Linked DNA regions of Callithrix jacchus. The protein of the gene in region 1 interacts with the protein of each later gene in a pairwise test. Links are inferred from orthologs where the notes say so. Each region holds a gene or a part of one and is shown in the gene's direction. Other genes may lie near its edges.

Region 1 (4,761 bases):
GGGTGCAGGGTGGGATTCTGGGCTTGCTGTTGAAGTTTTCTTGGAGGTTGATGTCACTGAAGGTGTGGAGATGACACAAACCAGAAAGTGCGTGGGAAGCATGGAGAGTGGGGTACAGAGTCCACCACGTGGAGAGCCAACGTCGGAGGAGGCCCAAGGGAGAAAGAAAAACCAGGAACCACCCAAGAAGGCCAGGCAGGAGGAGGGCAGGGATCTTGGAGGCAGGCCCCCAATCCAGTGGAGCCACTCCAGTCCCTTCTGTTCTGAGGTTACAATGGGTGATGGCTCTGTGGGGCTGCAATGAGAAGTGGCATGCAGGGAGGGGCAGAGGAGGAGAGACATACTGTGGGTCCCAGGTTCAGATCCCAGGACTGAACTGGAATCACCCTGTCTGTGTTGAAGTTCAAGACCTACCACTTTTGTTCCCAGGACTCTCAGTTCTTCCTCACCTTTTTGCAGTTTCATTTTTGATAATTTCACCTTCCTAAATGTACACATTTGACTTCACTTTCACTCACCTCTCACCCTCACGCCTCCACCAGCCCCTTCTCGCTATTACACACCCAGGAGACACAGGAGGTGGAAGGAACGTCTGGAGCCCCAAAAGCCAGGAGTCTCAGGAGTCAGGTGTCCAGAGAGCCAGGAACCCTGACACCCAGGATCCCCAACACCAAGGGGCCCTGATAGTCAAGAACCCCAACAGTCAGAAGCCTCTACCACCAGGAGCCCCGATACCCAGGGTCCCCTACAGCCAGGAACCTCAACACCCAGGGGCCCCTAATATAGCCAGGAACCCTGACATCCAGGAGCCCCTAGAGCCATGAACCCTGACATCCAGGAGCCCCTACTATAGCCCGGAACCCCGACATCCAGGAGCCCCTGCTACAGCTGGGAACCCCGACACCCAGGAGCCCCTGCTACAGCTGGGAACCCCGACACCCAGGAGCCCCTACTACAGCCGGGAACCCCGACACCCAGGAGCCCCTAGTATAGCCGGGAACCCCAATACCCAGGAGCCCCTAGTATAGCCGGGAACCCCGACAGCCAGGAGCCCCTACTATAGCTGGGAACCCCGACACCCAGGAGCCTCTAGTATAGCCAGGAACCTTGACACCCAGGAGCCCTTAGAGCCAGGAACCCCAACACCCAGGAGGCCCTACTATAGCCAGGAACCCCGACACCCAGCAGCCCCTACTATAGCCAGGAACCCCAACACCCAGGAGGCCCTACTATAGCCAGGAACCCCGACACCCAGAAGCCTCTACTATAGCCAGGAACCCCGACACCCAGCAGCCCCTACTATAGCCAGGAACCCCGACACCCAGCAGCCCCTACTATAGCGAGGAACTCCTACAATAGCTAAAAACCCTAACATCCAGGAGCCTCTACAGCCAGGAATCTCGATACCCAAGGGCGCCTACAGCCAGGAGCCAATACAGCCAGGAACCTCCACAGCCAGGGGCCCTGACGGCCTGAAGTCACTAGAGCCAGGAACCCTGACAGCCAGGAACCACGGGAGCCAGGAGGCCCACAGCGGAGTGCCCAGACCTGGCAGGGTCAGAGCCCCCCAGCGGCATCCACCGTCCGCCGCCGCTTCTGGGATCTCTCCGGCTCTGCAGCGTTCCGTGCAGACAGGGGCGGGGCGATTCCTCGCGCAGCCGTTCTGCGCTCCGCTGCCCCGCCCACATCCGGCCGCGGGCACTCGATTGCTCCTGTCTGGTGGCGGCAGCATGGCGGCGGGGGCGGCTGCGGCGGCTGTAGGGGCCGTGGAGGAGGTCGGCTCAGTCGGGCAGTTTGAGGAGCTGCTGAGCCTCAAAGCCAAGTAAGCGGGGAGGCGAGCGGCAGGAGTGAGGAGCCGGGGCAGGAGTGGCCGCAGGACCCGGCCGGCGGGGGACGGCGGGCCGCCCAGCCCGGCTCCTTGGCGCCCGGCTCGCTTCGGCCTCGGGGGACCGGGCCCGGCGCCGCCCGTGGACTCCCCCAGGCTTCAGGCGGTGACTGGTCGGAGCCGCGGGCTTCCCGCCCCGGGCCAGCGAGCAGGGCGCGAGGTTCGCCCCAGCCCCAGCCCCAGCCCCAGCCCCAGCCCCAGCCCCGGCTCCGACGCCGACGACGGCTGTCCAAGCCCGAGGGACGCGACCTTCCCGGCCCCGGCCTGGGCAGCCCCGCGGCGGGACAGAGGCGGTGACTCAGCTGTGCCGCGGGGCGGAGCGGGGCGGGGTACGGAGCGGCGCCGAGACCCCGGCCCTCCACGCCACGGAGCGGGGAGCCACGGCTGCGGGCTCCACCTTTCCTGCGCCCGCCGGGAGGGTGCTGCAGGCTCGGCGTCGGCCCCTTCCTCTTCGCCTCCCTCCAGGAACGCCCCTGTCGCGGGAAGAGCGGCTTGGGAAGCCCCGCCGCGCTCGCTAGGCCTGGCCGGCTTTTGAAGTCAGCCTGGAAAGTTTGTTGGTCAGCGGGCAGAGTCGGTGTTCAGACTTAACCTGTTGCCGGAGGCAGAGTTGCTGCTCGGCTTTGGCCCCGGTGTCCGGCCGGCGAGCCTGGGGAAGGCCACGGGAGGTCCGTGGGAATGCACAGAACGTGTTTTCTGGGTGTGCTGGAAGCGCTGAACGGGCAGCCTGCGGACGGCTCGGTGCTCACCGGCATGCGCGCTTGCAGGGAAAGGTCTGCACGTGGCCTCTCCGTGGGGATTGGCACCACCTCCCACCGTAGACCACTCCAGGGACTCAGTCGTTCGCTAGTTGTAGTAGTGGTTTTTAAAGGAACTTTATGTCGGATTGCCCGGGATCCACTCATTAGCCGTGTAACCCCTGGGCACGTTTCGTACCCAAGCCTCAGTTTCCCAACGGTGAAATAGCACCTATTAGTACCTCAGGGTTGTGGTGAGGGTTAAATGAGATGATGTACGTAAAACGTTATGAATACCATGCCAGGTATGCAGGAAACACTCAGGAGATGTTGGCCCTTAGTTATTTCAGTAGGGAGTTGTTTTTGAGACGGGCTCTGGCTCTGACACCCAGGCTGCAGTATAGTGGCGCAGTCGCCGCTCACTGTAGCCTCTGCCTCCCGGGCTCAAGTGATCCCACCCATCTCCTCATCCCATCTCAGCCTCCTGAGTAGCTAGGACCACACTGCTTTCACCACTACGTGTTTTGTTTTTTTTTTTTTGCGACTGAGCCTCGCTTTGTTGTCTAGGCTGGAGTGCAGTGGCGCAGTATCGGCTCACAGCAACCTCCGTTTCCCTGGCTCAAGCAGTTCTCCTGCCTCACACTCTCAGGTAGCAGGGATTACAGGCGCCCACCACCACACCCGGCTAATTTTTTGTATTTTTAGTAGACTGGGTTTTACCATTTTGGCCAGGCTTGTCTCGAACTCCTGACCTCAAGCGATCCACCCACTTCAGCTTCCCAGAGCTAGGATTACAGGTGAGAACCACCGTGCCTGTCCAATTTTTATATTTTTTTGTAGAGACGAGGTCTCGCTATGTTGCCCAGGCTGGTCTCGAACTTCTGGACTCAAGCGATTTGCCCTCTTCAGCCTCCAAAGTGTTAGGATTACAGGTGTGAGCCACCATGCCCAGCCAAAAATACTTATTGATGTAAATTTTGTTTTGGAGACAGGCTCTTGCTCTGTTGCCCAGGCTGGAGTGCAGTGATGTGATCTTGGCTCACTGCAGCCTCAACCTCCCAGGTTCAAGCGATCCTCCAACCTCAGCCTCCTGAGTATCTGGGATTACATGTGCGAACACCATGCTGGGCTAGTTCGTGTATTTTTTTGTAGAGATGAGGTTTCCCCTTGTTGCCCACGCTGGTCTTTGGAACTCCTCAACTCAAGTGATCCACCTACCTCGGCCTTGTAAAGTATTGGTATTATAGGCTTGAGCCCCCATGACTGGCCCTGTTGATCTAAATTGAGTGAAATTTTGCTGACTGAATTTGAATTAGAGACAGGTAGTATTATGATTTTGCCATGGGGAGTGCAGGTGAGATGGGAGTGTTGCCTTTGGAAATGGGGAGGAATGAGAGTTACTAATGGTTAGAAATGCTTTACTAATGGATAGAAATGCTTTATGGGGTGGTGAAATTAAAAGTGTTATTTAAAACAGCTCCTTAGGCATTTCACATTTACCTGGGAAATTGTTAAAAAAAAAAAAAGCGGAGGTTGGGGGGAACACTTAACGTTTACTCACTGCTGGAAGCTGAGTTCTTAATCATCCAGTACAGGTCAGCACAGTCACAGGAGTCACCAGAAGTGGCCTCTTGAAGTAAGCAGCTCTTATCTGGAACTGCCCTAAATAAATGTTTTGAATGTATATCACCTGAAAAGACTGTTTTGTGGGTGTGTGTTTTATGTTTGTTTTTATGCTTCATTTTAAAAAAAGTCCTTAAACTATCAAAATGGATAAAAGTTTTTTTTCTTTTCTTTTTTCTTGAGATGGTATCTTGCTCTGTCACCCAGGCTGGAGTGCAATGGCAATCTCTGCCTCCCAGGTTCAAGCAGTTCTGCCTTAGCTCCCGAGTAGCTGGGATTACAGATGCCCGCCATAATAGCTGGCTAATTTTTGTATTTTCAGTAGAGGTGGGGTTACACCATGTTGACCAGGCTGGTCTAGAACTACTGACTTGAGGTGATCCGCCTGCCTCAGCCTACCAATGTGCTGGGATTACAGGTGTGAGCCACTGCATGTGGCCAAAATGGATAAAATTTTAAATGTAAATACCATTTGGATGTATTTACATTTAAACACATCGACTGGCCCATACTTGAAAT
Region 2 (2,938 bases), on another chromosome or scaffold:
GCCTAGGGCTGGCTGGCTCCTTGCTGGGAGCCTGGCTGATGCTGGACTCATGCCACCCCCTAGTGGGGGATTGGGGCAGTGCCAGCCATCAGACTGGCTGCTCCCTGTGCGCTACTGAGCCTAGAAGTGACAAAAACCCACCCCTGTCCCACTCAGGCCACCTGCTGCTCCGACCACCTGCACTGTTGCCCCCAAAACACTGTGTGTGACCTGATCCAGAATAAGTGCCTCTCCAAGGAGCATGCTACGGACCTCCTCACCAAGCTGCCTGCGCACACAGGTACCAGAGGCAGGCACAGATTCAGGGGAGGGGCCCCTTTCCTCCATTTTGGGCCTGGCAGTAAGATCACTGCACGGTGGCGTAAATGGTACCCTCCATCTTCAACACCTGGTTCCAGCTGTGGAGGTGGCAAAGGGTGGATACCCCTGAGGGTCCTCTCTGCCTTCCTCACAGTGGGTGATGTGAAATGCGACATGGAGGTGAGCTGCCCAGATGGTTACACCTGCTGCCGCCTACAGTCGGGGGCCTGGGGCTGCTGCCCTTTTACACAGGTACTCAGGGGTGGTGGGTGGGTGGACTGAGCACTGTGGCAGCCAGCTGGACCCCAGTGCCCACTGGCCCTTCCTGTCTGCCATAGGCTGTGTGCTGTGAGGACCACATACACTGCTGCCCCTCAGGGTTTACGTGTGACACACAGAAGGGTACCTGTGAACAGGGGACCCACCAGGTACCCTGGATGGAGAAGGCCCCAGCTCACCTCAGCCTGCTGGACCCGCAAGCCTTGAAGAGAGACGTCCCCTGTGATAACGTCACAAGCTGTCCCCCCTCCAATACCTGCTGCCAACTCATGTCTGGGGAGTGGGGCTGCTGTTCAGCCCCAGAGGTACATGGGAGAGGACAGCACCTTGGCCTGGGAAGGTGGTGGCCAGACTCCTCTTGCTTTCTGCCCTCTGCTTCACCCATAGGTGGCACTCAGCTCTGTCAGATTCATCCCCAGCTGGAGATGCTATAAGCAGCAAAGGCGGGCTGGAGAGGTAGGGGCTCGACGCTGTGCCCCACATGTGGCTACCTAGAATGGCCTTTTCTGCCCACCCCCAGGCTGTCTGCTGCTCGGACCACCAGCACTGCTGCCCCCAGGGCTACACGTGTGTCGTTGAGGGGCAGTGTCATCGGGGACCCAAGATCGTGGCTGGGCTGGAGAAGATGCCTGCCCGCCGGGCTTCCGGATCCCACCCCAGAGACATCGGCTGCGACCAGCACACCAGCTGTCCAGTTGGACAGACCTGCTGCCCGAGCCTGGGCGGGGGCTGGGCCTGCTGCCAGCTGCCCCATGTGAGTGCCTCCCTGCCTTCCCCTGGATAAGGGAGCTAAGCCCGGCGAGGGGACAGGAACATAATGCCATTCTGCACCCTCTCCCCACCAGGCTGTGTGCTGTGAGGATCGCCAGCACTGCTGCCCAGCTGGCTATACCTGCAACGTGAAGGCCCGATCCTGCGAGAAGGAAGTGGTCTCTGCCCAGCCTGCCACCTTCCTGGCCCGTGGCCCTCATGTGGGCATGAGGGACGTGGAATGTGGGGCAGGGCACTTCTGCCATGATGACCAGACCTGCTGCCGAGACAGCCAAGGGGGCTGGGCCTGCTGTCCCTACCGCCAGGTCAGTGACACCCCCCACCCTGGGGCTCGGTATGGCCAGGGACCCAGTCCCGCCATGTCCAACCCTCTTGTTCCACTCTGACCATCCAGGGTGTCTGTTGTGCCGATCAGCGCCACTGCTGTCCTGCCGGCTTCCATTGCTCAGCCAAGGGCACCAAGTGTTTGCGCAGGGAAACCCTGCACTGGGACACCCCTTTGAGGGACCCAGCCTTGAGACAGCTGCTGTGAGGGACAGGACTGAAGACTCTGCAGCCCTCAGGACCCCACTTGGAGGGTGCCCTCTGCTCAGGCCTCCCTAGCACCTCTCCCCAACCAAATTCTCCCTGGCCCCCATTCTAAGCTCCCCATCACCATGGAAGGTGGGGCCTCAATCTAAGGCCTTGCCTGTCAGAAGGGGGTTGTGGCAAAAGCCACATTACAAGCTGCCATCTCCTCCCCGTTTCTGTAGACCCTGTGGCCAGGTGCTTTTCCCTATTCACAGGGGTGTGTGTGTGCGTGTGCGCGTGCGCGTTCCAATAAAGTTTGTACACTTTCTTAACAGCGTCTGATTTGCCGCCTTGCCTGCATTCCCCAGGGCCCCAGAGCCAGAGTTCGCTCCACTGCCAGCACTCCCCTCCCCTTCCCCACAGAAAGACACACACGGCCTTAACCTCACCAGTTTATATTTGCTGCTGCCCACAGCCGCCGTCATCACATTACCCCCTAGTCCCCAGAGCTGCCCCAGCCACCAGCCCTGTGACATCGTAGCCCAGAGGTGGGCTAGTCAGCAAGCAGCACTCCCAACCCCTCCCAGGGGGCCATAGAGAACGCCCCCGCCCTTCCCAGCCCTCACACTAGCAGCTGAGGCTGGGTCACCCCTCCTGCTTTCCCACAATAGAGCTTTCTATATACAGCCACACTACACAGGCACTGCTTCCCCCCAGCCCTCCTCCCCGGCACCTCCCCATGAGGGCTGGACCCCCCTCCTCCCCGGCTTGGAGGCAGACACAGGGTCCCTTGTAAGACACAACCCGGCACCTACCACGGAACGGCTCCGAGGCCCCTGGGCCCCTCTCGGGCCTAGGGCTGGGGGCAACGCATGAGGGCCCCACAGGCCCCCAGGGCGCGCACCCGCGCAGAAGGGGCGGTGCCAGGCCCGGCGCGGGCGCTACTTGACATTGAACACCATCAGCGGCCGCTCCTCCCGCCGCTGCCACGGGCTCTTCTTGTCTCCAGCCTCGTCGCCCACCTCTGCCCCCAGCTCATCCTCCGGGCTAGTGAGCGAGTCGCGCCGCAGCTCACTAG
Region 3 (4,257 bases), on another chromosome or scaffold:
GTCAAATATCCCTGGAAGAGGGGGGCAAAACTACCCCCAGTTCTATACATATGTAAGTCATTTGCTAGAATTTCAGAATTATCATTTTTTCATAGGATACTTTGGCCCTAGAAATGCTGACTCAAAGCCATTATTTTGGGCCATCTACCTAATGCCTTCTCTCTTTCTCTTGAAGGCTTGCCAGAATCTTTATGTAGGTGACTCTAGATCATGGTTATTTACTTTGATTTTTCTCAGATATTAAAGCATATTTTCCATCTGAGTTTTGAATGGTATGGGTAAGGCTATTTACAGCCTACTAACCCAAAATAGAAGTGGTTGTGCAACCACAGATATTTCATTGAAAATTCTCAGAAAGATAAAAGCATATCTTGAACATCACGGATACAGATATCTATGCTGAAATGTCAACATATAGATAGATAGGTTAACCCCAGAACGCTTGACGATTCCATTTTTGGTGCAGTTATATATCATTTCACTTTTTTGCATTTCAGGACCTCCAGGATATGCTGGCTACCCTGGGCCCCAGGTCGGCTACCCTGGGCCCCAGATCGGCTACCCACCCCCACCAGCTGGCCATCCAGGTCCTGGGCCAGCTGGCTTTCCTGTCCCAAATCAGCCAGTGTATAATCAGCCAGGTGGAGCTGCAGGGGTACCATGGATGCCAGCACCACCGACTCCATTAAACTGCCCACCTGGATTAGAATATTTAAGTCAGGTAATTTGAAGGACACAACATACTCATAAAAAAACAGAACTGTGCTTCCAGCTTGAGAAACCAGATTAACAAATGAATAATTCATCAAAGTCTGAAATGGCAAAACTACATTTTCTGCTAACAGTTTACTGTAATTCTTTTAGGTCAGGTTCAATTTTAAAGCAAAATACAAATGCCTTAGAAAATAGTATTTTCTGTGATCCTAAATACAATCTGTGATAATAGCCAATAGCAAACATTTAGTTAGTACTCTTTTCTTGTTTTTGTCATATACATTATCCATGTATTAACTCATTTAATCCTTACAGAAAATCTGTGATATATAATGCTACAGTTAGTTCCGTTTTTCAAAAGAGGAAACTAAGGTCCAGAGAATTTATATCTCTCACTCTGGGGTGAGAACCTAAAGAGTTGAGAATGGTTTTTCAATCCAGAAACTTTGGTACTGGGCATGGTGCTCTTTAATCTCAATACTGAATAATTGCCTTATAATTTGAAATAAAATTTAAATATAGTTTATTGTTGAGTTTCAATAAGTGGCACCAAACAAGGGGTTAATATTTTATGTGCAATATGACACACCTTTTTATTTTAACTAATAAAACTACATTTTTATGATGCTGCTTTTGTTTTTTGAAAGATCCAATTATATAAATGTCATTAATAAAGGAGTAAAAAGTCCTGGATTTTGTTCCACTAAATTCTAATTAGTCTCAGCAATAAGAGGTTTAACATTTATGTGGTGTTAGAAATCAAGTAGGTCAAATAGAAACAAGAAACTCTGTGTGTTCAGTTTATACAAATAAAAACAAATATTCTTGTGATATTCAACCAGTTTTTATTTCATGAATCATTTCTTTCTTGCACTGTGTTTAGTAACTTAATTTCTCACAATGCACTTAAGTGGCACAATCATAGGAATTTTTAGTCATTATTATATCATGCAAGAAATATATAAAAATAGGTATTTTAAAAATCAGGGTCGTAAAATACATAAAGGATGTTATCACATATGACAAAGGTTGATATTAAGTATGATTAATACAAATTTGAAACGTGTAGAAAATTGATGGCTAAAAAAGTTATCAATATTTCTTGAGCCTCTTCCAGAAGAAAGATTGTTATCTACTTTTAAAATTATTTGACACATAGTACTTGTACATATTTATGGAGTACAGTGTGGCACTTTAATGCACATAGACTATATGTAATAATATAATCAGGGTAATTAGCATATCTATCACTTTCAACATCTTATCATTTTTAGTGTTGAGAACATTCCAAATCCTCTCTTATAGCTATTTGAAAATGTACAATAAATTATTGCTAATTATAGGCAGCCTACATAGCTATAGAACACTCGAATTTATTCCTCCTCTCTAGCCATAATTTTGTATTCATTAATCAACTTCGGGTTATACCCCTCCTCCCTACCCTTCACAGTTTCTAGTAACCACTGTTCTACTCTCTACTTCCATGGGATCAATTTTTTTAAGCTTCCATGTATAAGAACATCCAGTATTTTTTTTTTTTTTCTGTACCTGGCTTATTTCACTTAACATAATGTCCCTCAGGCTCACCATGCTGCTGCCAATGACAGAATTTCATTCATTTTTATGGCTGACTTTTATTCCATTGTGTGTATTAAGAATGAATTTTTCAGCTGGTCATGCCTGTAATGTCAGCACTTTGGGAGGTCGAGGTGGATGGATCACAAGGTCAGGTATTCGAGACCAGCCTGCCAACACAGTGAAACCCCATCTCTAACAAAATTAGAAAAAAGTGGCAGGCGCCTGTAATCCCAGCTACTCAGGAGGCTGAGGTAGAGAATCACTTGGACCTGGGAGGCAGAGATTGCAGTGAGTCCAGATCGTGCCACTTCACTCCAGCCTGGGTGACACAGTGAGACTCCATATCAAAAAAAAAAGAATTTTTCTGTATTCATTTATCTATTGATGAACACTTAGGTTGATTCTACATGTTGACTACTAGTGCTGCAATAAGCATGACAGTGCAGATACCTCTTTGACATATTGATTTCCTTTCCTTTGAAATTTTTGTTTTGAAAATTTTGAAAAATTTGAAAAAAATATTGTTTTGGAAAAATGGTAGTAGGATTGCTGAATATTCAATTTGGTAGTTGTAATTTTAGTTTTTGAGGAAGCACTACATAATGGCTGTCCTAATTTACTTTCTCACCAAATCTTCCCTGCTCCACATTTTCACTATTATTTGTTAGTTTTTGTCTTTTTGATAATAGCCATTCTTAATTGGGCAACAATAATATCTCATTGTGGTTTGGATTTGCATTTCCCTGGTGATTAGTGATGTTAAGCATTTTTTCATAAAAGTACCGAGCGTTTGTATCAATTTTCTAGTTTTTAAAGTTACTCCAGTGTAAATCAATTTTATTTGATCTAAATTTCCACACGTTAATTGTAAACACAATATTTTATTAATTAAAAATATTAACTTGTTTTACACTAAAAAGTAATATAAGCTATTAAATGTTGATAATTGATTCCCTGTACTTTAAATATATAAATACATGAATTTTAATTTGGTTGGCTTAAAAAAACCTTCATTTAACATATACTTACCACTTTTTTTTTCCTATAATAGATAGATCAGATACTGATTCATCAACAAATTGAACTTCTGGAAGGTGGGTGTTCATTGTATTAATCTTATTTCTAAAAAGAATAAAAGTTTATGCAGATAAAGAAACATCAGATTTCACAAATATAACACTCTCACTTATATGGGACAGTTAAACTGGTTATCTACTATAACAAAATAATAAACATCAGCAATTCATTTCTAAAATTTAGGAATCAAAAAGTAAAATGCCATTATGCTGGGCACTTTCCTCGGGATATTGACACTAACTTAAAAGGAAAATAGTCAAAACCTTTATTTTGCTCCTCTCTTCATACATCACGTTTTATCTGGCTTCTACTACTTAAACTGTTTTCTCTGTAATTATGATCAACTTCAGAATGGCACGGAGTCATATTCAAAAGTAAGTTATCTTTTGTGTTTGGATGAGAAAATATTGGAAAATTATCATTTGTTCCCACAGTTTCTCTTAGGAGTTAAGATGAACCCAAGAAAACCTTTGTATACCAGGTTGGATGCAGGGCACTGTGGCATTGGAGAATGCTGACCAACTAGCCTGCAGGCTTGGCTTCATAGAAGAGCACTCCTGCTGAATGGCCTTACATTTCCGTGGGTCCAGGACTCCTTAGGTGCAAGAATAAACTTAGGAAGACAATTACTGTTTTACAATAGCTGCCAGGGGAAGAAGACCCTGGGTAGATTTATGAACCATAGTGTTTTCTTTCTAGATATAAAAGGTTTAATAAAAACTCTACCAGTTTTTAGGAATATGTATGTTAAATTCATTTTCACCTGTCTCCAGGCTTCTTTCCACTGGTAAAAATTAGAAATTGTACAAGCAGAATAATGGATTTGGCTAAAATATACAATTGTCATCTATTAATTTATTTATAATGCACATTATTAGACAATTAAAA
Region 4 (4,951 bases), on another chromosome or scaffold:
CTGAAGCCAAGTCCCTGGTGCTTGGAGAAATCCAATTCCAAAGTCGTCACCCTTACATTGCTGTATGGTTGTTGCTGCCCTCGACATTTGTCTGGTGGGTCCTGGTGGAGGTGAGGCACCAGCTACCTGTATTTCATAGTCTCCATGTCCAGTTTGTGTAAGGCTTTGGAAGCTCTTTTATTTCTCATTTTATTTCGAGGTTCCAACATCACTCTTCTCTGATCCTGGCCTATTGCCGTTGGCCAGCCCTGCAGACCTTAATCCAAACTCTCCTTGGGAAAAATCCCTTCCCAGGCAAGCCTCTGTGCACTTTGGCAAGCAGATCCACCTACAGGTTACCTTCCAGACTTGGTCAAATATTCCTGTATTCTTAGAAGAAAATAGATTAGATGCATGACGGTAATTTCTGAAAAGTTATGGGAAAAGATAGGCAGGGGAAAAACAGGCTGAAATATGAGGTGAGGAGAGAGAATGGGGCTGTAGGTGGCTTGTGCAGAGCCTGCCCTACTAACCCGTATTTTTCATCTGATAGTCTCTCTTATTTGTTTTTCTATTTTGTATTGTTTGTATTTTCATAAATACAAACTTTCGAACTTTTTGGAAACTTGGCAGATTATAAATAAATAAATAAATAGGCAAGGTAAACTTTAGTGGCCATATTGTATTTAGCATTCTGAAGACAGAGGTCAAAGGTAGAGGCAAAACCAAAACAAAACAAACTTTTGATAAACATGGTTATGGCCAGAACTTGGAATAGCAAGAAAAGAGAATGTTAAATTAAATATAGCTCTCAAATGACAATTCAACCCTGACCACCTCTGCTGATGGCAAAGTAGTTTGGCTGACTTTGTTTCGTCAACGCCAAACCAAAGCTAGGTGAAGGCAAGCGCCAGGGCTCCAACTCTTGTCGTGTGGAGCAAGCTCTGGGGCCACGCCGGGTGGGAGAGTGAGAGAAATCCTCGGGGGTAGGTGAACCGGGTCCCTCCATGGAAGTAGGGACGTCACTGGAAACAAAGGCTCTGGAAAGCAACGGATACAGACTTGTGAAGGTTACCCTCGACGGGGGCTTTCTCTCCATCGCACTCCAGACTACCCCTTTTGCTCACTCAATTTCCCCCACTCCAAGCTAAACTTGCCCTCTCTCGTCAATTTCCATTCTATTCCCGGGAACGTCTGGCCCACGTTCCGCAGAGCTCACGCTCTTCCCGCTCTAGGATTCTCTGGCCCTCCTCCTTTTCCCTCTGCCTCTGGCCCCTTTCCTCCTCTCTCGGCGTCTGCCTCCCTTTCTTTCCGGGAAGCCCCTCGCTTTCCTTCCCACCCAGCCCCGACCTCGGGGACCAAGTCAGGGGTTGGGGAGGCAGGTGGATCCGAGGGAAGGGCCGGGCAGGGTAGGAGTTGGCAGGGCCGGGACCCGACGGGACTGAACGGGACGGGACTGGACGCGGCGCGCCCTGCCGGCCGCCAGGGGCAGGGAGAGCGGGTCCTGCCCCTCCCGGGCGGGCGCGCGTCCGGCCCGAGGGGCGGTCCCTGGGCTCCCGCTCGCCGCCGCCGCTCCTCGTCCTGCTCCTTGCTCCCCAGCGGCGGGAGCGGGGTGCCGGCGGGCAGGAGGCGCCCGAGGATGTGCTGCTGGCCGCTGCTCCTGCTGTGGGGGCTGCTCCCCCGGGCGGCGGCGGGGGCCTCGGGCAGGACCTACTCGCACTGGACCCTCCTCGACTCGGAGGGCAAGTACTGGCTGGGCTGGGACCAGCGGGGCAGCCAGATCGCCTTCCGCCTCCAGGTGCGCACCGCGGGATACGTGGGCTTCGGCTTTTCGCCCACTGGGGCCATGGCGTCCGCCGACATCGTCGTGGGCGGTGTGGCCCACGGGCGGCCCTACCTCCAGGTAAGCGCGTCTCCTCCCGGAGCCCGCCCGGCAGAGCCCCGTCCCGTCCCGACCCCAGCGAGGGCGCAGGTGCGGGGCGTCCCCAGGGCCAGCAGCTCGGTCTCGCCTGGAGCAGCCCTGAGCCCCCGGCCGGGCTCACTCTCACCTCCGCTGGCAGCGCCTGCGCTCCCCGAGCCGCCGAAGGCGCGCAGAGGCTGGGCGCCCCGGGAAGCCGAGCTCGAGTGACCCCAGGCAGGTTTCCTTCTTTGAACACTTTCCTGTCCCCAGCGCCCCACTTAAGAGACACCTCCCTACCCCCGCCTACACACCTGCAACGCATTCCCCTTCATCCCTGACGGGAAGGGAGAAGGACCTCGGCTTTGGCTTTGCGGATCTAACGGGACAGCTCGCAGAGAAGGGAGGGGACAGAGCGCTTTAGTACTTCGCGGACTTGCTGTCTAGGAGTGGGAATCTCAGAACTTTCCAAATCGTGGCTATTTTGGAGCCCCCAGGCGCGGGGCTGATAACAGCTACACCATTCTCCAGGAAAAGGTCCCTAAGAATCACTTAGGGACTTTGCTATTCCGAGAGCTGTTCAGGAAGCCACATTTAGAGACTAAAATCGAAGGTACCCGTGCAAAATCTCCTGTGAAGTGGCAACACTTTCGCTTACTTTAATAACCAACAAAGTTAATTTGACCGCTGCTGATTTACTTTGAAGGAGCCTAAGTAACCACCTTGCCGGTTCATAGGTGGCGCCTTACTAAATAGAAAAAGGAGAAAAAGATTGTGAGATGACCAAAATGATTAGGTGGTTAGGTTTCCTGGACATCCTTGTTTAACCGTGACCAGCGTTTGGATGGCGGTGAATGTACACGCTTTGTTGCTTATAAAATTACATCCAAACATACTGCCCTTTGCTAAAAGTTTTTTTAGCAAAAGTCAAAACTCCTAATTGCTCTGGCATTGCATTAAGGCTTTGATAGTATTAAAATCAGTGTTCTCGGTGGATTTAGAGTGCATTTCTTAGTGATTTTATCCCTAACTTCTGAGTTCGATTTCCACACCGTTTAGACTGAGATATGCCATCAAATTTGAACCCTGTTCTGGCACTGAGCCGTTAACTCTGGCAGGAAATAAAGTGACAACAATAAAAAGTTCAAAATCAGTCTATTATCTATTTTTTTCACAAATTAATCGTTTCTTCCCCGAAAGAAGTAATTTTGCAACTCCAGTAAAATAAAGTTTATGAGGATTGCATTCTGCTGAAGTCACTGATGCATAAATTTTCTCCTGGTGCAGCATCTCAGACATTAACTTTGTGAACCAAGGATTTGACCACAAACGCAGGCCTCACTAGGGGAATGACTTATTCTCCTGTGTTGTAAAGTAGACAATCCCTTATTTAAATACCGATTTGAGCCAACGTTTTCTAAAAATATAAAGTTTAGCTGTTTGTTTAGGGTGAGGAGTATAGCATGCCTTTTTAACTGTCCTTGCATGTTCTACAAAAGGGAGCATGAGAGCTCTATGTTACTATTAAAATGGGACACACTTTGATTGTTAACTCCATGTTATTTTCCCCCAAAGAGTAGCATTTCTAGAAAGCTCACCCTTGTATGTCAAATGAAAGGCCATGAGTAGAATTCTGATTCAACATGCCATAATAGGTCCACCAAAAGGATAAACTTGGTTAAACTACAATGTTTTCACCCTGTTGGTAAAAGATTGCATAAGACTTAATTAAGTACTTGTTAGATTGATTTTGAAACATAGAAATTTTCTTAAAGTAATTAGTGAATACACATCACTATGAGATAAATTATGAATGGCTGCATTCCCAATATACTTAAGGAGCAATAAATAGGATTTCCCCTTCATTTTTATTCCTATGAAAATAAAATTATTTTTACATGTAAAGGATGATCATTTTCTTATTTGGCTGACATATTTTTACCTTTCCATTTCTATAAACATTGTACTCATTTTAGGGCATACAAAATGCATTAAAAATTATGCTATCCAATTAAATGGAAAGACAGTTTACTTAAAATCTGTTTAATAAGATGAAATACACCAAATACTATAAATGAAAAAAATAAATCAATTTCAATTTTTATCATCCAGACTGAATGATTCAATTTTACAGTACTCAAAATTCAATCTTCTCTCTAGAAACTATTTATTTAAGATTCTTCATACATTAGTGTGAGAAAGGTATTTTCAGTAACTATATCAAAAAGTAAATAGTATTCTTTTTTCTTTTTTTTTTTTTTCAGACAGAGTCCCACTCTGTCGCCCAGGCTAGAGGGCATTGGCACTATCTTGGCTCATGGCAACCTCCACCTCCTGGATTCAAGTGATTCTCATGCCTCAGCCTCCCAAGTAGCTAGGATTACAGGTGCTGGCCACCACACCCAGCTAATTTTTGTATTTTAGTAGAGATGAGGTTTCAGCATGTTGGCCAGGCTGGTCTCAAACTTCTGACCTCAGGTGATCCACCTTCCTCAGCTTCTCTAAGTGCTGGGATTACAGGTGTCAACCACCTTGCTTGGCCATAAATAGGATTCTTAAATGTAGCATATGTGATTCTATTAGTAGAATTTATATTTTGTGTAATTTTGCTCCCGGTGAGAACAACATTTATATAGAACAATGACACAAAAATAATCGGCTCCTGGGGCATCAATATATGCATAGCAGCCAGTAAGAGTTGGACAGACAGTGATACCAGGGTGTATGATAAAACCTAAGTTGCTATCCTAGTCACCTCATCATGTGGCTTTTTTTGCATATTTTATTTTGCCCTTTTAAATTTAATTGTAAGCTAAGACTTCACGTTTTAAAAATTATTCTGATTTTTATTTGCCCCATTATATGAAATTCTTCTTCTCAAAAGGGTGTTAACTCCTTGAGAACTATATAAGTATAAATGTTTATCAATCAGGTAGAGAATCATTGGCTTACTGTCACAAGCCCAAATGTCTGTAGATGTCAGAAAAGAAATCTAAGAGTGGCTGGAGGCCATTAACTTAAGTGAAACAAGCTAGATGCAGAAAGATAATTACTGCACGTTCTCACTTATAAGTA
Region 5 (3,571 bases), on another chromosome or scaffold:
AGTATTGGGTTTGAGGTGCCACCTATGGGTAAGAAAGAGGCTTTCCAGGAGGAAGGTGGATATATGCACCTGGAAAGATAGATCACATAAGCCAGTATTTAATGATTTAAGTAATTACATTTTCAGTCTTTGTTTTTTTTGGGTTTTTTTTTTTTTTTTTTTGAGACAGAGTATCACTCTGTCACTAGGCTGGAGTGCCGTGGCACGATCTCGGCTCACTGCAACCTCTGCCTTTTTGGGTCCAAATGATTCTCCTGTCTCAGCCTCCCGCATAGCTGGGATTACAGGCACGCACCACTGTGCCCAGCTAATTTTTGTATTTTTAGTAGAGACGGGGTTTCATCATATTGGCCAGGATGGTCTCAATCTCTTGACCTCGTGATCTGCCTGCCTTGGCCTCCCAAAGTGCTGGGATTACAGGTGTAAGCCACCTGTATATAAGCTGAAAAAGCTCGGCCTATTTTCAGTTTTTTTATGAAAGCACTGCGTGGCATTGGAACTATCATGGCCAGCCTGTGCAGGGATGGCCCAGCTGAGGTTCTTTCCGCAGAAGAGACCTGTGAGTTCATGTTTGCACCTTTGGCCTAGACTCATTTGTCTAGTGTCCTACAGGAACAGTTTGAGCCCAGTCGTTTGCTCTGGTTTATGGGACGGTCTTGTCTAGGAAGAGCCAAACATCAGAGCGATAATAGGCGACATCTCCTATGGGGTTAGTGAAATCCAAGCACTTTGTCATTAGATCACCAAAAACATTGACACTATCATCATCATCTTCATCATCATCCCCACCTCAGGGGAGGAGTTCACTAGGACACAGAGTTTACCTTGCCCAAGGCCCTGTAACTATGCAGTCACAGGGCTGGAATTTAAACTCTGGGATCATCTGCCCTCAGGCCCTGTGACTGGAACCTCCCAGGATTTTGAGTCAGTGTCCACTTCACGTGCCCAACCCTCCGGGCAGGCCAGCACTCATCCTGAGACCTGCCACTGTGGACCAGCAGGGGAAGTCTGGGCCTTCAGGCGTCAGCCCCCATGTTACAAGGAAATGAGCAAGGGGCAGTCTGTGCTGCCTGTTTTCTACAAAGCAGCAGTGTGAGCCCCACCAGCATCAGTGAGAACTTGTGGGAAATAAGCAATCAGGGAGACCTCTATACCGCCTAAATCTGGGGTGGGACCCAGCTACTATCTCACAAGCCCTCGAACCTACTGATGCCACTGGCCTTTGAGAACCACGTTGATGATGCTTTTGGTTTCTCTTTCGGGGGTTTGGATTTTTGGGACGATCTCCTTTGGTTTGGGATATTTAAAAAACAACAAGGCCGGGTGCAGCAGCTCACGCCTGTAATCCTAGCACTTAGGGAGGCCGAGGTGGGCAGATCACCTGAGGTCAGGAGTTCAAGACAAGCCTAGCCAACATGGCGAAACCCTGTCTCTACTAAAAATACAAAAACTAGCCAAGCATGGTGGCGGTCCCTGTAATCCCAGCTACTCAGGAGGCTGAGGTAGGAGAATTCCTTGAACCCAGAAGGTGGAGGTTGCAGTGAGCCAAGATAGCACCACTGTACTCCAGCCTGGGCGAGGGTGAGGCTGTCTCAAGAAAACAAGAACACAAGCTCTGGGAGTTTGGGATGGAGCTACAACCGAAGTCTCTAATACACATCCTACTCCTTTCTGTCGGCAGGTGAGCTTAGACTCCCGGGTGAGAGAAGTCATCAACAGAAACATGGTGGAGCCGTCCCAACACATATTCGACGATGCTCAACTTCAGATTTACACCCTGATGCACAGAGACTCGTATCCTCGATTCATGAACTCTACCGTCTATAAGGACTTGCTTCAGTCCTTATCGGAGAAATCCATTGAAGCATAGGATTTTTCAAATATATTTATTATTAATAAAATAATAAAAGAACTCATGGGCTACATCTAGCACAGTGAATTTAGAGGCTGTAGCATCTTCTGCTGGAGTAATACTCAGGCTATTTTAATAACAGATGATTCCCTCAACAGACTGCTATATATTCACAATGTAAATTGCAGCCACCTTTACTGATACTTTTGGGAAAAGAGAAAGGGACAGGGCTGTTGTAGAAAGCGTATTTGCATTTGCAGTAACTCTAGCATGTGGTCAGTGGTGAAGGCTACACAGAAGGCTCCCTGCTGCCCAGGGCAGGTGCATCCACCAGAGCAAAGGGAGCCACTTCTGTTTTGCATGACTTTGGTAACTGGTTACTGTTCCCCCAAGAGAAGACATTCAGGTGTTTCTCAATCACCTCTTCCGTCCATTAAGCTTGGTTTGAACACTTCACTTATCAGTGCCATTACAGGGCCCAAATTCACAGTTCATAAAGATGTGACCACTACATGTAAAAATGGCATTCCGCGTGATCTTAGAGTATGTCTGTATGGAGATACATATGTGTGCGTGTGTGGGTCTCTGTGGTTAATGTAGAGCACTGATCTGAGGTGGGTCAGTCTCAAGTGTCTGGTAACAGAAGCAGTGCTTAGAAAATTCTTTTGTAGAAAAGAATTACTATTATTTTATTATCAGAATTTGCCAACCTAAAGAATGAATTTTTAAAATCACAATTTGGTCATCTTCACAAAACTGTCAAATAAGCATATTTCCATTTTTATTGAAAGAAATATGGGCATTTTCATTCTTTAAAGAAATAAAGCACAATAATTTTATCTCAATCTTTATTTTTCCATATGTACTATTTGGGAAACATAAGATTAAGAAAGTAGGGATACGTGCAGCATATCTTTTAGCTCCCAGACTAGGATTCTGTGCTTAGATCCCACTATTTTTATCAGAGGCAAAAAGAACTTCATAGCTTACAGGTAAAAATACTGGTTGGTAGACCTAGCCCATCCTGAAGAAACCCATCTCTACAATGAATGGGAAACATTCAAAATCTGGGACACTCTGACTAGTGGGAGAGATGCTATGTTGCAGGAGGTGGTGCTGCACTCCCGCCCTCACAGGGGATGGCTCTCCTCTGGGTCCAACCCTGCCTGGCCCCTCTATAGCCTGCCTGTATCTTCATGACTCAATTCAAGCCCCAAAGCCAAGCCCCTCTCCTTCATTCTCATAAAACCATTTTACCTCCTACTCTACTATGCAAATTGTGTCCCTAAGCCTCCTCAACTTCCCATACAACCTATAAACATGTATAGATCAGTGTCTCTTCTCATCTCCCTCAGTCCAGTCCCAGAGAACAATGTGTTTTTTCCACGTTTTTGAGGTGTCAATCCCTTACCTGTGCTTCAATTCCAAGTCTTCCAATCTCATTTCTTACTAAAGAAAACAGATATAATTGTGAATGAGACATAAGCCCTGCCCTCTAGTAGTTTACATTCAGTAAAAGCCGACTGATATGTTTGTGGGAACTCTGAGACAGTAAGAAATACAGCAGGGGGAGAACAGCGCTGCGGGAGTCTTGAAGGGTTATGGAAAGATTCTGGTGGAGATGGCACCAAAGTCAAAATCTAGAGAACGAGAAGAAAGTATATGTGTTGGGGCAGGGAGGGCATCGGACTAGATGGTATTCATAACTGAGCGGCCCCA
Region 6 (4,257 bases), on another chromosome or scaffold:
TTGTCAGCAGAATTAAGTTAGATGATGTATACAAAGTGCTTAATATGGTGTCTGGTACAGAGCAAGTGCTTAGCAAATGGTGATTTCTATAACTATCAGAAAGTGGTCGGCCCAAGGTCAGACATCTCAGAGGGGTAGAGCTGGAATTTGAACCCACGCCTTCTGCCTCCCAGTGTAGTGTGTTCTCGTCTACACAGCAGAAAGCACTTAGGTATGTTGTAGTTAACAGTTTCTGTTTTTATGGAGCTCTTTTTCTTTTATTGCTTGGACTCAGTGAAGCCTGCTGTGGACCCTGCTGCTGCCAAGCTGTGGACGCTCTCAGCCAATGATATGGAGGACGACAGCATGGTGAGCTGGCACCATGGTCACTTGATTGCTTTCTTTCAAGCCTCAGTTTCGGTGTGAACAGCTATAGTGATCTTTCTGGACTTGTCGGTGTGAACGTATTTAAAGCCCAGATTTGTGAATATTCCTGTCACTTACATCTTTGGTTTAAAAGGAAACTCCATGTTGGTGGCTTTTTTTTTTTGAGTTGGAGTCTTGCTCTGCCACCCTGGCTGGAGTGCAGTGGCGTGATCTTGGCTCACTGCAATCTCTTGCCTCCTGAGTTTAAGTGATTCTTTTGCTTCAGCCTCCCAAGTAGCTGTGATTACAGGCACATGCCACCACACCTAGCTAATTGTTGTATTTTTAGTAGAGACAGGGTTTCACCATGTTGGCCAGGCTGGTCTCAAACTCCTGACCTCAAGTGATCTGCCCGCCTCAGCCTCCCAAAGTACTGGGATTACAGGTGTGAGCCACAATGCCTGTCCATATTGGTGGCATTTTAAATTTTTTAGCATCTCTTTTTCCCCACATGATTTCTTGTTCTCACTTCATGTGATATGTTAAAAACTCTCGGGGGTTTGTGTAAACCTGAAAATATTTTGTCAGCTTAAATTGTTTTATTGGCCTCTTGGTTTGGGCAAGTTGCTGAATGTTCCATGCTTTAAAAAGCAATATTTTCCATCTTTGCCATATCTATAATAAAGTTCTTCATTTCTACACTTCTACTATTGAAGTTAGAGTAGTGAGCAAAATAAGTCAGGTTCATGCTCTCAAAGAGTTTACAGACTAAGTGTCTACACATTTACAAAGAATTACATAAAGGTATATATAATTATTTGATTTTTCTCGGGGATTATATGGAAGATATTCCATTTTTCACATGACTCGTCATAGACACTTCTCTCTTTGTTCTGCCTGCTCTCTCTCTTCTCCCCACTCCTGTCCCCCACCCCCAACATTCTTGACAATTTGCTGGCCAGTCTTACAGGCTTTTCTCAAGTAAATTTGTTCCCAATTCCTTCACAACCTAGTGCATAGTCTGCGGATGTAGTTTAACTCACTGTTGGCCTCTTGGGCATGTGGTCAGGTTGAACATTATGATCAGCCAAAAGAAGGACAGGGTGGACACCTTCTTTACCCTGGATTCTAAGTTTCCTCTCGAAGCCTGTGGTCACTTTAGCTTTTCATTAGCAGAAACCACAACTGTGTCACTCGTTGCTTTAACACTCTCCAGGATCTCATTGACTCAGATGAGCTGCTGGATCCAGAAGATTTGAAGAAGCCAGATCCAGCTTCCCTGCGGGCTGCTGCTTGTGGGGAACGGAAAAAGAGGAAGGCCTGCAAGAACTGGTAAGTGCCCGGTGACTGGAGCCTGTGATGCTGCCTCCAGTGGCCTCATGCTCAAGTAATTGCAATGCTTTACTATTTTTAAAACATACATTTTCCAATCTGGGCAACACAGGGGGCCCATCTCTACAAATAATTTTTTTTTTTAATTAGCCAGGCATGGTCGTATGTGCTTGTGGTCCCAGCTACTTGGGGCAAAGACAGGAGGATCGTGAGCCCAGGAGGTCGAGGCTACAATGAGCCGTAATTGTGCTTAATCTCATTCTCCCTCAGAACCCTACCAGTGAGCCATGATTGTGCCACTGCCCTCCAGCCTGGGCATCAGAGCGAGACTTTGGTGTTTTCACATTTGTTTTTATAAATGGTTGGGAAGGATGGTAGAAAGTTAATCTGTGGTGTTCAGGCTTGTTTAATCATCAGTGTTTTTAAAATGTAAAAGCTGCCAGCATTTACAAATCAGGAGATTTTAAGTGAAAACACAGATTTTTTTTTCCCTGCTGTTCTTGAATTTGGAAAATATGGCAAACTGGGTCCACTTTACCCAATATGATAACCAGCTGAAGCTGAGTAGTGGCCACCCTCTGTAGACAGAGCATACACCCTCTACTTCCCCCCATCCTCCTCTCCCTCCTGTCTCCCTCAGCAGCCTCTCACATTGCTGCTATCTGCCTGGCCCATAGGCTTCTGAGTTATGACACCGAGTGTGAAGAGAAAAGGCTTACAGCACATTTTGGCACTGTTAGGATTTGGGATTTCTGGGTGGTGGTAATTCTCATTCATTAGTCACTGATTTTCCCACAGCACCTGTGGCCTTGCTGAAGAACTGGAAAGAGAGAAGTCAAGGGAACAGATGAGCTCCCAACCCAAGTCGGCTTGTGGAAATGTAAATAGAAGGATCATTCCTCAGCATTCACAAAACCCCCAGGGGGATTAGGCATCCTTCTACACTAAACACAGACAAGCTCTACCTCACATATTTTAGGAACAGACAAATGCATGAGCACATGAACATAGGTAGTAATGGGGAGAAAGGCTGTCTCCTGAGGGTGAGAGTGGGTTAGCGTGCATGTGTCCGTTGGGGAGGGTCTTGTGTTTTATTTGTGGCCCATTTCTTTCTACTCCAGAGTTAGACATTTAACCGAGGTTGGTTGTGTTTGGAACGGCATAAAATATAGAACTATGGCTGGGCACAGTGACACATGCCTGTAATTCCAGCACTTTGGGAAGCCAAGGCGGGCGGATCACTTGAGGTCAGGAGTTCCACACCAGCCTGGCCAACATGGTGAAACCCGTCTCTAGTGAAAATACAAAAATATTAGCTAGGCATGGTGGTGCATGCCTGTAATCCCAGCTTCTTGGGAGGCTGAGGCAGGAGAATCACTTGAACCTGGGTGGTGGAGGTCTCAGTGAGCTGAGATCACACCACTGCACTCAAGCCTGGGTGACAGAGGGAGACTCTGTCTCACACACACACACACACAAAATGTATATATACATATATATGTATGTATGTAGATATACGTGTATGTATATATACATATATGTGTGTATGAACTATGGCCTCCTAAGGAACTTATTCTTGACTATAGTTTTTCACAAAACCAGAAATCTTGAAAACTCTTAGTATTTGAGTCTCAGTTGGACCTGCAAACATACTCAGCTATTTCCTTCAGGCCACTGTGGCTACATTATGAAATTAGGAATTTCTTTCTTCTGGCTGGTATGCCTAGGATAAGCTGACCCTTCCCCATTCTTTCTCTCCAGTGCTACCTGGGTGATGCCTTCCGCTGTGCCAGCTGCCCCTACCTTGGGATGCCAGCCTTCAAACCTGGGGAAAAGGTGCTTCTGAGCGATAGCAATCTTCATGATGCCTAGGAGGGACCCAACATGGGACACATCTGCTCCTTCAGCCAACTCCTGTCTCTCACATCCCACCACTGTGGCTCCTCCCGCCTCCTCTGGATTTGTTCACTCTGTTTGAGATCTGTTTGCAGAGTGGGTGCTTAGCAGACAGAGTGAAGCTGGCTTGTGGGCACAGTGGTGTATAGTGCTGCTCTGTATCAAGACACCAAGGTATTATGGGTCCTGGTTACCCAGAATGGGCTGGGTTTCTTCACCTCATGTTAAAAGAAGGGAGTGTCCTGAAGAAGTCCTTCTGTTAAAATGCTGACCAGAACACTCTTGAGCCCAGACATCCTTGAGCACTAACACTCTGTGACAGAGCTCCAGGCCCCTGCCCGGAGTCTCATCTCAGCAATGCTGCCACCTGCTTGTCTTTCCGAGTTGTTAGTTTATTCCATTCTTTGTGACACAAGTCAAGTGTCTTATGACCTCCTCAGGGCACCAGAGGAGTCACTCACTGGTTGCTGTGATGATATTCAGTGTCCCTCTGCCCCCTTCCACCCCCCAACCCCATTTTACTGTGGCATTGCATCTGTGTTTTATTGTCATTTCTGTTAACCATCAGGTATTAAACTTGCTGCATATCTTGAGATATCTTGAGATTCTGCATGTCTTGTAAACAGAGGGGATGTACATTTGTGTGTGATGTTGGATAGTCATCCACGCTCAGTTTGGACCATT
Region 7 (4,257 bases), on another chromosome or scaffold:
TGTTCTTACCATATGATTCCAGCAGTTAAGCTTGGGAATTGCTCTATAGAAAGGACTATGCATATGTACAAAGATTTAGCTTTTAATCATTTTACTTTTAGTGAAAAACCAGAAACCTGTTTCCAAAAATAAACAGTTAAATGTTGATATATCTATTTAGTAGTGTACCATTGAGGGGGAAAACACTGGCAGGATCTATACAAAAAGGTTATAGTAATTACTTTTGAGTTACTTAAAATCTTTAATATGTATTTTTAAGTTTCTGATTTTCTTACAAAATATGTATCATATTCAGAAAAATTAATTTGCTTTGCAACTCTACCGAATAAAATATGAATATGGAAAGAAGTCATATAATATTCATTGAGACGCCAGGTGTGGTGGCTCATGCCTGTAATCCCAGCACTTTGGGATACTAAGGCAGGCACATTGCAAGATCAGGAGATGGAGACCATTCTTGTTAACATGGTAAAACCCCATCTCTACTAAAAATACAAGAAAATTAGCCCAGTGTGGTGGTGGGTGCCTGTAGTTCCAGCTATTCAGGAGGCTGAGGCAGGAGAATCACTTGAACCTGGGAGACAGAGGTTGCTGTGAGCCGAGATCATTCCATTGCACTCCAGTGGGCAACAAAGAGAGACTCTTTCTCAAAAAAAAAGTATTCATTGAGAGTTTGATATTCTTACCAGACTTAGATTTTAAAATATTAAAATAACAGTTCATAAGAGCTTCTGCACAGCAAAAGAAATAATCATTAGGGTGAACCAGCAAAAAAATATACAATTAAAAACCAACTCCACCAAAAAGTGGGCAAACGATATGAACAGAGACTTTTCAAAAGAAGACATTTATGTGGTCAAGAAACATGAAAAAAAGCTCACCATCACTGGTCATTAGAGAAATGCAAATCAAAACCACATCGAGATACCATCTCATGCCAGTTAGAATGGCAATCATCAAAAAATCTGGAGACAACAGATGCTGGAGAGAATGTGGAGAAATAGGAACACTTTACACTGTTGGTGGGAGTATAAATTAGTTCAACCATTGTGGAAGACAGTATGGCAATTCCTCAAGAATCTAGAAATAGAAATTCCATTTGACCCAGCAATATTACTGGATATATACCCAAAGGATTATAAATTGTTCTGTTAGAAACACACATGCACATGTATGTTCATTGTGGCACTGTTTATAATAGCAAAGACTTGGAACCAACCCAGATGGCCATCAATGATAGACTGGATAAAGAAAATATGGCACATATACACCATGGAATACTATGCAGTCATAAAAAAGGATGAGTTCATGTCCTTTGCAAGGACATGGATGAAGATGGAAACCATTCTCAGCACACTGACACAAGGACAACCAAACACCACATGTTCTCACTCATGGATGGGTGTTGAACAATGAGATCACATGGACATGGGGAGGGGAACATCACATACTGGGGTCTGTCGGGGGATGGGGGGGCCTAGGGGAGGGATAGCAGGGGTGGGGGAGTTGGGGAGGGATAACATTAGGAGAAATACCTAATGTAGGTGACGGGGGGATGGAGGCAGCAAACCACCATGACTTGTATATCTATGTAACAGACCTACAAGATCTGCACATATACCCCAGAACTTAAAGTAAAATAAAAAAAATAAAATAATAGTTTGCTTATGGGAGGATATAGATAAAAAATTTCAAGTCCTGGGTTGTTATTCTGTAGGTAGAAGGCATGTGGCTAAAAAAATTCACTTGTGGTTTTGAGTCAGTTTTTGTCTGTTTCATTCTTTTTTCTCCTTTCACTTACAAATATAAATATACCTTTTAAATATAAAATATATGAAAATATTTAATACATTTAAGTTTTGTGTATTATAAATTTAGAAAATTATTGGACAGTATAGAAATCATTAAATATTGCTTTTATATAATTTTTATTGAGAAAAACACAGGTTTTAAAACATAAATATTTTAACATTGTTTTTTATTTCATAATTCTTTCAGGCATAGATGTGCCAGAGATCAATGAGGAACAGAGCAAAGTTTATAATAATGCATTGATAAATTGGCACCATCCAGAAAAGGATAAAGCTGATAGCTATGTTCTTGAATATCGGAAGATCAACAGAGATGATGAAATGTTGTCATGGAATGAGGCTGAAGTGTGCGGAACAAGTAAAATAATTCAAGACCTGGAAAACAGTAGTACCTATGCTTTCAGAGTAAGAGCTTACAAGGGTTCAATCTGTAGTCCTTGCAGCAGAGAATTAATTCTTCATACTCCTCCAGCTCCAGGTATGGTGAATATCAGGAATAAAAAAATCATAGAGTTGCAAGAGACCTTGATAAAGTAGACTAGACAATATCTCCATGTAGACCTGCATTGAAACAAACTCTTGTTTTTAAGACTCGGGAGAAGTAGCTTCTATTACATCTGGGATTTAGAAATTAACTGAATACTTGAATTTTTACCTACTAGGCTGAGAACAGGATTAGGTTTTAACTGATGTCAGATAGAGAAAAACATGGAAGAAATTTGGGTGAGCAGAGCTATTAAGTTGGGATTAAAATAGCATAAATGCTACCTTAAAAGTTTTAAGTATATGATTCTATAGTTTTGGTTAGTTTATGGAAATCTCTAAAACACAGGATCTAGGTAGGTATTTTTTAAAAAATTATTGGTGTAATATCCTAAAATATAATTTTGATTTAATCTAATTCTGATTTGTCTGGATTTTTAAAATTTAACTTGGCATTTCTCAGCTAATCGGGACGGAAGCCATTTATTAGAACTACGTGAATAGCTTTTCCTCCTGTGCTAAAAGTTCCTCATGCCCAGTCACCATTCCCTCCCTTTCCAAGTAAAAAATCCACTGATACTACATATAGAGCACGGAAAGATTTTTATAGAGTGAGAATGACTAAAGTTTTGTTGATGCTCACTATGATGTATCCATGAACAAGGGATATTTAGAAGCAAAGTTCCGCTCAGCCTGGTTAGGAGGAAAACGTTTTCCCCTTTCAGTTTCTGCCTTCGACATACCTTTAATTGTATTTTAGATCCACTGCTCCCTGCCTTTTTAGTGGCTTATATACCCATATTTTCTGCACTCTGACTTTTCCTTTTTTGTTCAAAATAGAAAAGCACAATTTGTTTTTCATGCACATTGTGGCTTTTGAAAAATTGGAACACAGACATACAAAGTTGGCTAAAATTGTATTTCTTGAATTTTAATAAAATCCAATAGAGTTTTGGGATAAATTTGCAAGTATTAAGTAAATATTTTATGGTTTATGCTATTTCCACTTCCTTTTCTAGTCTTTTTGACTAAAAGTGGAAGAAAAGCAAACCTGGACATAACGCTGTTTTCAATCATGTAGTGGAAGTGGGAAGGAGGAGAGGAAGTGCTGAGGTTGTCTTCCTTTTTCTGAGAGAAGATACATAACTAGGGTGACCTTTTAAATTTATTGTGCAAACTGGGAGACTTTTGAGATGGAGAGGAAGCACAATTAGTCATGCCAGGAAAATAGGCATTAGCAGGAAGAATAGTTGGTTCACATGTGGTTAATGGCGGTAGTTTGCTAGCAGCCTCTTTTTGGAAGTGGAGTCTGGCTCTGTCACCCAGGCTGGAGTGCAGTGACATCATCTAGGCTCACTGCAACCTCTGTCTCCTGGGTTCAAGCAATTCTCCTGCCTTAGCCTCCTGAGTAGTAGCTGGGATTACACATGTGGGCCAGCATGCCTGGCTAATTTTTGTATTTTTAGTAGAGCCAGGTTTCACCGTGTTGGCCAGGCTGGTCTCAAACTCCTGACCTCAAGTGAGGTGCTCACCTCAGCTTTCAAAGTGCTGAAATTATGGGCGTGAGCCACCATGTCCAGCTGCTAACAGCCTGTTAAAAAAAAAAGAGAAAAATACATGCATATATATATATATAGTGTGAGAGGGAGAGAAGTGGGTCTCACTGTGTTGCCTAGGCCAGCCTCAAACTCCTGCCTTCCATGTAGTTAGGACTAAAGGTGTGCACTACCATGCCTGGAGATCGTTTATAAAATTGTGAAGTAAAGATAAAATTTATCATCTTAACAAACAATTTTTAAGTATACAGGTCATTGGCATTAAGTACATTTACAGTATTGTTCAATTATCACCACTTGTATCTCCTTAACTCTCATTATTCTGAACTGAAACTCTGTGCCCATTAAACAGTTAACCCCATTCTGCCTCTCCCCAGAGACTGGTAACCTTGATTCCAATTTCTGTC

What was found.
Region 2: the proteins of GLRX3 (region 1) and GRN interact in binary tests that used the Homo sapiens proteins (3 or more experiments, as listed by UniProt). The link is inferred for Callithrix jacchus from reciprocal best matches to the Homo sapiens genes GLRX3 and GRN.
Region 3: the proteins of GLRX3 (region 1) and phospholipid scramblase 1 interact in binary tests that used the Homo sapiens proteins (3 or more experiments, as listed by UniProt). The two-hybrid records come from large-scale screens. The link is inferred for Callithrix jacchus from reciprocal best matches to the Homo sapiens genes GLRX3 and PLSCR1.
Region 4: the proteins of GLRX3 (region 1) and MOXD1 interact in binary tests that used the Homo sapiens proteins (3 or more experiments, as listed by UniProt). The link is inferred for Callithrix jacchus from reciprocal best matches to the Homo sapiens genes GLRX3 and MOXD1.
Region 5: the proteins of GLRX3 (region 1) and RGS20 interact in binary tests that used the Homo sapiens proteins (3 or more experiments, as listed by UniProt). The link is inferred for Callithrix jacchus from reciprocal best matches to the Homo sapiens genes GLRX3 and RGS20.
Region 6: the proteins of GLRX3 (region 1) and CIAPIN1 interact in binary tests that used the Homo sapiens proteins (3 or more experiments, as listed by UniProt). The link is inferred for Callithrix jacchus from reciprocal best matches to the Homo sapiens genes GLRX3 and CIAPIN1.
Region 7: the proteins of GLRX3 (region 1) and E3 ubiquitin-protein ligase TRIM36 interact in binary tests that used the Homo sapiens proteins (3 or more experiments, as listed by UniProt). The two-hybrid records come from large-scale screens. The link is inferred for Callithrix jacchus from reciprocal best matches to the Homo sapiens genes GLRX3 and TRIM36.

The regions. Positions count from the first base shown.
Region 1 is NC_133513.1:123,455,375-123,460,135, forward strand, and holds the start of GLRX3 (glutaredoxin-3), read left to right. Parts: upstream 1-1,714; 5' UTR 1,715-1,730; coding exon 1,731-1,822; intron 1,823-4,761. UniProt on the Homo sapiens protein: Together with BOLA2, acts as a cytosolic iron-sulfur (Fe-S) cluster assembly factor that facilitates [2Fe-2S] cluster insertion into a subset of cytosolic proteins.
Region 2 is NC_133506.1:71,192,050-71,194,987, forward strand, and holds the end of GRN (progranulin), read left to right. Parts: intron 1-156; coding exon 157-280; intron 281-454; coding exon 455-552; intron 553-638; coding exon 639-884; intron 885-1,099; coding exon 1,100-1,333; intron 1,334-1,424; coding exon 1,425-1,655; intron 1,656-1,744; coding exon 1,745-1,882; 3' UTR 1,883-2,192; downstream 2,193-2,938. Other genes in the region: protein FAM171A2, read right to left, coding at 2,802-2,938. UniProt on the Homo sapiens protein: Secreted protein that acts as a key regulator of lysosomal function and as a growth factor involved in inflammation, wound healing and cell proliferation. Regulates protein trafficking to lysosomes, and also the activity of lysosomal enzymes.
Region 3 is NC_133518.1:38,664,199-38,668,455, forward strand, and holds part of phospholipid scramblase 1, read left to right. Parts: exon of another isoform or gene 1-497; coding exon 498-721; exon of another isoform or gene 722-3,343; coding exon 3,344-3,386; exon of another isoform or gene 3,387-3,414; intron 3,415-4,257. UniProt on the Homo sapiens protein: Catalyzes calcium-induced ATP-independent rapid bidirectional and non-specific movement of phospholipids (lipid scrambling or lipid flip-flop) between the inner and outer leaflet of the plasma membrane resulting in collapse of the phospholipid asymmetry which leads to phosphatidylserine externalization on the cell surface.
Region 4 is NC_133505.1:139,053,419-139,058,369, reverse strand, and holds the start of MOXD1 (DBH-like monooxygenase protein 1), read left to right. Parts: upstream 1-1,566; 5' UTR 1,567-1,618; coding exon 1,619-1,882; intron 1,883-4,951.
Region 5 is NC_133517.1:710,039-713,609, reverse strand, and holds the end of RGS20 (regulator of G-protein signaling 20), read left to right. Parts: intron 1-1,681; coding exon 1,682-1,870; 3' UTR 1,871-2,697; downstream 2,698-3,571. UniProt on the Homo sapiens protein: Inhibits signal transduction by increasing the GTPase activity of G protein alpha subunits thereby driving them into their inactive GDP-bound form.
Region 6 is NC_133521.1:15,307,774-15,312,030, reverse strand, and holds part of CIAPIN1 (anamorsin), read left to right. Parts: intron 1-274; coding exon 275-348; intron 349-1,561; coding exon 1,562-1,677; intron 1,678-2,475; coding exon 2,476-2,557; intron 2,558-3,438; coding exon 3,439-3,549; 3' UTR 3,550-4,257. UniProt on the Homo sapiens protein: Component of the cytosolic iron-sulfur (Fe-S) protein assembly (CIA) machinery required for the maturation of extramitochondrial Fe-S proteins.
Region 7 is NC_133503.1:94,750,209-94,754,465, forward strand, and holds part of E3 ubiquitin-protein ligase TRIM36, read left to right. Parts: intron 1-1,998; coding exon 1,999-2,289; intron 2,290-4,257. UniProt on the Homo sapiens protein: E3 ubiquitin-protein ligase which mediates ubiquitination and subsequent proteasomal degradation of target proteins. Involved in chromosome segregation and cell cycle regulation. May play a role in the acrosome reaction and fertilization.